Ovis aries: one gene and its partner. Each later gene encodes a partner of the first gene's protein in a complex. Links are inferred from orthologs where the notes say so. Each region holds a gene or a part of one and is shown on either strand. Other genes may lie near its edges.

The links. Proteins that work in one complex are often made in the same cells at the same time.
Region 2: the proteins of GIPR (region 1) and GIP are in contact, whole or in part, in a cryo-EM structure (PDB 7RA3), measured with the Homo sapiens proteins. The link is inferred for Ovis aries from reciprocal best matches to the Homo sapiens genes GIPR and GIP. Residues at the interface, in NP_000155.1 of Homo sapiens: Gln30, Thr31, Ala32, Leu35, Tyr36, Trp39, Tyr68, Trp71, Leu88, Trp90, Arg101, Arg113, His115, Asn120, Gln130, Arg131, Leu134, Glu135, Leu137, Gln138, Tyr141, Tyr145, Arg183, Ile187, Arg190, Asp191, Pro197, Gly198, Pro199, Tyr200; in NP_004114.1 of Homo sapiens: Tyr52, Ala53, Glu54, Gly55, Thr56, Phe57, Ile58, Ser59, Asp60, Tyr61, Ser62, Ile63, Ala64, Met65, Asp66, Lys67, Ile68, His69, Gln70, Gln71, Phe73, Val74, Trp76, Leu77, Leu78, Lys81.

The regions. Positions count from the first base shown.
Region 1 is NC_056067.1:53,030,651-53,034,301, forward strand, and holds part of GIPR (gastric inhibitory polypeptide receptor), read left to right. Parts: coding exon 1-53; intron 54-899; coding exon 900-1,003; intron 1,004-1,189; coding exon 1,190-1,334; intron 1,335-2,701; coding exon 2,702-2,861; intron 2,862-3,075; coding exon 3,076-3,136; intron 3,137-3,446; coding exon 3,447-3,651. UniProt on the Homo sapiens protein: This is a receptor for GIP. The activity of this receptor is mediated by G proteins which activate adenylyl cyclase.
Region 2 is NC_056064.1:37,313,827-37,316,817, reverse strand, and holds the end of GIP (gastric inhibitory polypeptide), read right to left. Parts: intron 2,672-2,991; coding exon 2,582-2,671; intron 1,832-2,581; coding exon 1,730-1,831; intron 1,601-1,729; exon of another isoform or gene 1,529-1,600; intron 666-1,528; coding exon 656-665; 3' UTR 521-655; downstream 1-520. UniProt on the Homo sapiens protein: Potent stimulator of insulin secretion and relatively poor inhibitor of gastric acid secretion.

The sequences.
Region 1 (3,651 bases):
CTTGGAGAGACCATTCTCAGTGTGAAAACCCAGAGAAAAATGGGGTTTTTCAGGTAAGAAGAGGAGAGATTTAAGGGTATGATTTCCAGGCAGCAGTAGAACAGCTCAGACAGAGCCTGAAACCCCTTGTACCATTCAGGACTCTGGGTTCAAAGTGATAGCAATTTCAACTCCTTTCTTGAAGGAGAAAGAAAAATATATTGGCTTTTGTGATTGAAAATTATAAGGCTACAGCTTCAGGTACAGCTGGATCTAGGTGCTAAAATGATGTAGTTGGGAATCTCTCTCACCATATTGTACTTCTATTTTTCTCTATGATGGTGTCCTCTTTTGTGTGTGTGTGTGTGGGGGGGTGGTGGTGGAAAAGGTGGCCCCCATCAGTACCAGGCTCACAGTCCACCTGCAGGCAATGCTATAGGCAGACTGAGCTTTTTTCTCAATAGCTCCAACTTAATGTCTCAGGACTGACCGTCATCGGCCTGATTTGAGTAGCATACCTGCCCTTGAGTAGTCACTCTGTGTGTGTGTGTGTGTGTGCGCGCGCGTGGTGTTAGATAGCATGCTTTGATTCGTTGGTCACATGCCCAGCCCTGGGGTTGAGGGGTGGAATGCCCCACTCAAAAAAAGGTTGATAGATCCCCCCCAAAATTGGGGTGCAAATATGAACAAAGAGCAGCTCCTTTATGGCCTGAGGGCAGGAGTTGAGCTCTATCTCTTTTTAAAATTTATTCATTAATTTTTGGCTGCACTGGGTCTTCATTGCTTTGTGCAGGCTTTCTCTAGTTGTGGTGAGCGGGGTCTAGTTGCGGCATGCAGGCTTTTCGGTCCGGGCTCAGCCATTGTGGCTTGCGGGAGCTGAGCTCTATTTCTGTATCCTCTTCCCCCACCTCCACCCCCAGGACCAAAGGCTGGCCTTGGAACGGCTGCAGGTTGTGTACACTGTGGGCTACTCCCTGTCTCTTGCCACACTGCTGTTCGCCTTGCTCATCTTGAGTATCTTCAGGTGGGAACCCCCAACCCTGAACAGAAGCAGCAGAGACTGGGCTTCAGTTTTCCCAGAAAGATGGGGTAGTCAGGCTCCACTGGCAACAAGTATCCAATGGTGGTTCTGTGGGGAGGGCTGGGACGTAATTTAAGGGACTCTGTGTGGCCAAGGACAGGCCCCCAGACTGCCTCCCAAATCCCTCAGGCGGCTGCGCTGCACTCGCAACTACATCCACATCAACCTGTTCACGTCTTTCATGCTGCGGGCAGCTGCCATCCTCACCCGAGACCGTCTGCTTCCTCCCCCTGGCCCCTACCCTGGGGATCAGGTCCTTACCCTGTGGAACCAGGTGAGCAACATCCTTCTCTTTCTCAAACTGAGATTCTGCCTCCTCTGGTAGGGCCAGAGGGTTCCCTTGTGGCTCAGAACGTAAAGAATCTGTCTGCGATGCAGGAGACCTAGGTTCGATCCCTGGGTTGGGAAGATCCCCTGGAGAAGGGAAAGGCCACTCACTCCAGTATTCTGGCCTGGAGAATTCCATGGACTGTATAGTCTATGGGGCCATAAAGAGTCAGACATGACTGAACAATTTTCACCCTATCAACCGGGCTTGCCTGGTGGTTCAATGGTGAAGAACCTGTCTACTAATGCAGGAGACATGGGTTCGATCCCTGGGTCGGGAATATCCCCTGGGGAAGGAAATGGCAACCCACTGCACTTCTCTTCCCTGGGAAATCCCATGGACAGACAGAAGGGACTAGTGGGCTACAGTCCACGCACAAGGAAACAACAAAAAGAACAATAATGTTATCCATTGTTCATCTCTCCAGACCCTTCTGACACAACTAGAGAGGGACCCTCCCTACTCAGCCTCCCCCATCATTGAACTCTCTCATCCCGTTATCTCCTCTACTGGAACATTTCCATTCCTTTCTCTCGGTATCTCACCGGTCATTGGAGTTTTGCACCAATAAGAGAGGCCCCTGCTAGAGGCCAGACAGAAGTTGGCAGGATGGGAGAAACTAACCGATGGGGGGATTTGGCAGATACCAATTTGTTCCAGGGAGACAAGGTGGGAGAGACTAGGGGCGGGTGGGGAGAGAACCTGTCGGGCAGCAAGTTGGGCCATACCAATTGTTGAAAGCGAAGCGGGTGGGAGAGTCCATGTGCTGGTGGGTGATGAGAAAAACGTTTTGAAAGGTGTAGTTGAATTCTTAGGAGATGGGGTGGGAGAGTCCATATTCAGGGGAATCTGGGGGGAACTCATGAAATTCTCCAGGCCGGAATACTGGAGTGGGTAACCGATCTCTTCTCCAGCGGATCTTCCCGATCCAGGAATCGAACCAGGGCCTCCTGTATTGCAGGCGGATTCCTTACCAGCTGAGCTTCCAGGGAACATAGATAGATAGTGAAGTCGCTCAGTCGTGTCCGACTCTTTGCGACCCCATGGACAGTAGCCATCCAGACTCCTCCGTCCATGGGATTTTCCAGGCAAGACTACTGGAGTGGGTTGCCATTTCCTTCTCCAGGGAAGATACCAATCGTTAAAGAGGTTAGAGTAGGAGAGTTCATGTAGGGAAAGAGAACAGAGTGAGTGAGGAAAGGATAGCTTTATCATCCTTCGGTGATACAGAATGGGAAGAGAATATTTGATGACAAGAGATGGGCTTGGAGGGGACCCTGATTGCCCCCTCCTCCTGTCTGGTCACCCCCTAGGCCCTAGCTGCCTGTCGCACGGCCCAGATCGTGACCCAGTACTGCGTGGGTGCCAACTACACGTGGCTGCTGGTGGAAGGCATCTACCTGCACAGTCTCCTCGTGCTCGTGGGAGGCTCCGAGGAGGGCCACTTCCGCTGCTACATGCTTCTCGGCTGGGGTGAGCCCCGACTCTGCCCCCTGCCCTGCCCAGCGGCGCGCTTCCCCTCCCGCAAACTACCCAGCTGGTCTGCCTGAGGGGGTCTCCACCCCTCTCTAGGATTCTCTGCCTCCCCTTCCCGGCGGGGGAATTCCGCGGGTCTTGGGCCTGGCAGGGCCCGTGCGCGCTCTGACAGCTGCGGCGGGGTGGGGGGCGGGGGTTGGGGTCTGCACAGGGGCCCCCACGCTTTTCGTCATTCCTTGGGTGATCGTCAGGTACCTGTTCGAGAACACGCAGTGAGTCGCGGGGTCTGGGGTGGGGCGGGTCTGGGGTGGGCGGGGCTTTGAGGGATGTGGGCGGTCCTTGGAGGGACGTGGGCGGGGCGAGACGGAATCGTGGGGAGGTTCTAATTGCTTCTAGGAGCCTGGGAGGGTGTCTAAAGGAACCAGTCGCTTAGGAAGATGGGTTCCAGGACTGCTGCAAGGGGCGGGATGAGGGCTGGGCCTAAATAGTAGCAGTGGGTGTGGCCTTAAAGAAGGTGGGGAAATTAAGTGCTCAATTCTGTGAGTCTAGGGTATTCTAGTCTATCTACGCCCCCTCCTCCAGGTGCTGGGAGCGGAACGATATCAAAGCCATTTGGTGGATCATACGAACCCCTATTCTCCTAACAATCTTGGTACGGCCGGTCCCATCTCCTCCAGGCTGGTCTCAAGAATTTCCCATCCTGGGAAGCCAAGGTGGCGGGGAACTGGCTCAGTCTCTCTCTCTCCTCTACCCCCCTACCCCCCCGCAGATTAATTTTCTCATCTTT
Region 2 (2,991 bases), on another chromosome or scaffold:
AAGTCACAGAGTAGTCTCCCGTCACAGCAACTAGAGGAAAGCCCACACAGCAAGGAAGACCCAGCCCAGCCAAAAAGAAAGAAATGTTTAAAAAATCTCATTCAGCTTAAGCATCATTTTCTCAGAGAGGCCCTCCTGATTGCCTACTCCGTCTATGAGGCTTCTCTGTTGCATGCAGAATCTTCAGTTGTGGGATCTAGTTCCCTGACTAGGGATCAAACCTGGGTCCCCTGCTTTGGGAGTGCAGAGTCTTAGCCACTGGACCACCAGGGAAGTCTCTGTTTGTATAAAGATTAAGGTATGTCTTCATCACTAGACTGTAAACCCCCTGGGGACAATGATTGTGTCTGTTTCCATCACTGCTGTATACTCAGTGTTAAGCATAATCCCTGCCTGTGTTAGGTTTCCAATAAGTGTTCATGAAACAATCGATGAATTAACGGGTAAGAGCCATACCTCCTTTTCACTGAGTAGTGCACACACAGACAAACATCCAGTTAGTCAACAGTAGACACGTCAGTTTTGACAATGAGCACAAACATTTATTTCAGCTTAAACTTAGTTTGGTTCCTTTGGAGTATCTTGGAGTGGAGATGAAGCAGGAGCTGAGTAAATGAAGGGCAGAGTCCAGTTCTGAGCTTGGGTTTGGTCAGAGTCACTGAAACCTGTGCAGAGTGGAGAGAGGAGGGGAATATCTCGGCTTAGAGTCAGCAAAGTAAGTGTATTCTGGCACCCAGCCATAGTTCAACTCCTCCTACCTCCAAATTACCTTTCTAAAGGTAATTATTCCAAAAAGTGCACAGACTGTTACCCACTTTACCAAGGAGATTTTCTCATACTCTTTTCTCCATTGTTCTGGCCACATAGGGTCCTTCTAACCCTCTTACAGGAAGCCATTCCAGATTTGTTCCCTCAATCCCTCAACTTCCCATCACCGAAGTCTGAATTTGTTTTGGTTTCTGCATCTTGGTGTCTGCATCTTAAATGAATGTCCTGTCTCACTGTTCGAGTGGCTGGATCTCTCCATGGTTTTGAGCCATCCCTTGCTTCTAAGACATGATATTAATAAACTGAAAGACTTCCTAGCTGAGGAGGAGGATTCGAGGATTACTGAGACCAGCTGGAACTACAGAGAAGGGCAACGTTCCTCCAACTCTAGAGGTTTCACCACTGAGAAGCTGCCGTGGCACACGGGTACTGAGGGAAAGCTGAGGATGCTATGGTCTTGGGTGGGTAGGGCAGGTGAGAGCAGCATCTCACCTGGAGGAAACTGAGGAAGAAGTGAAAGTGGTACCACGATCTGTCAACATTACCAAACTCTTAACACTCTGCAGATGTTCTGTCACCCTTTTCCTAGCATTATCTTATTCAAACCCCACCAAATCCTATGAAGTGGTTTAAATAACCCTGACTTTCACAAAAATGCCTCTTTGTGACCCCATGGACTGTAGCTTCCAGGCTCCTCTGTCCATGGGATTTTCCAGGCAAGAGTACTGGAGCGGGTTGTCATTTCCTTCTCCAGGGGATCTTCCCAGCCCAGGGATCGAACCTGGGTCTCCTGCATTGCAAGCAGACACTTTACCATCTGAGCCACCTGGGAAGTCTCAAGTTTCGGAGAGTGTAAGTAATTTGTCAGCCTGTGTTGGGGTGAAGATCTGAACCCACGTCTGACTCCATAGTGAGAGCTCACAACTAATATGCAAGATGCCCAAAGCTGCCAGACTCCCACCTGAGCGTGCAGAGCTCCATCTGATCCACCATCCAGGCCAGCAGCTCTCGAATCAGTAAACGCTTTAGCAAATCTTCATCACTGGGGTTCTTGGGTAGGGAACTACAAAGGAGAAAGCCTCTGGCAGGCCCCTTAAGCCCAGGCCCCACCCAGAGAGAGTAAACACAGGGGCTGGGACTCCGGCGTGGTGGGACAAGGTGGGGCGGGGGTGGGGGGTACAAGTCAACACAGCTGCCTCTCAGTTGTCTCAGCTTTCAAAGCTCCGCCCAGATCTGTCCGCCAGGGAATGAATATAGGCTCTTCCATACAGGCAAAGACAACAGTTCTGGTGGGAGACATCCCTCCCACCCACCTCTACAAGTTTCCCAGAGTGTATTCCAACCCCCCCCCCCCCCCACCGAGATTACTTTGGGAATGTTCACTCTTTAGAATGATCTGTGTCAATTCCTCAGCTTCCTACAGAGACAGGGTAACTGATTTCAGGGGACTGGCCTTGGGAGGTTCCTTGTTCCATAAAAGCCTTCCTGAAGTTTAGCAGACAAAAGGGGAGAAGCCAGTTTCTGAAGTCCCTCCAGGAGCCTCTCCTGGACTTGGTGACTCTGCACATTAAGTCATCAATCTTAGAAATTCTAACCCCAAATCCCCTCCCAGGACCTCCACCCCCATTCCTCCTAGGCTATTCCCTTAGGCTTGGGCTGATCTCCAGGATCTCCAGGACCCCTCTTTGAATTCTGGGTAGAAGAGGATGCTTGTCTGGGGTCTAGCCCTGCTTCGGAGTCTGGGAAAGGGAACAATGAGGGGGCAGTGAGTCGGGGGCCCCACCCCCACCCCTTCCCCTGCGGGCAGACTCACCCCTGCTCCTCCTTTGCCTCCTCCTTCCTGTTAGACTGATGGGCCAGCTCTAAGGCCCCAGCCTCCCTCTGGGTGATGTTGTGTATCCAGCTGGTAAAATAAAGGTTAGGGAATAGGTGGGGCCAGGGGCGATTCCAGATATTCTCCAGTCTAAAGAAGCTCCAGCCATTTGGCACCTCAGCCCAGGGAGCAAAGGGTACCTCTTTCTTCAGTCAGCCTCCCAACTGCTTGTCTTCAGCTCCCAGTGAAAAGCTTTTCAAAAGCTACCACGCAGGTCAAACAGCAAAGTCAGGGAAAGAGACTTTGCAAAGAGAAGACTGAGATCAACTCGTCTTATTTCCAAAGTCTGAAGCTGCCACCACTGAAGAGTCATTGGCAGCAGTTCAGCTCCTCTGCCTTCATCCCCAGCC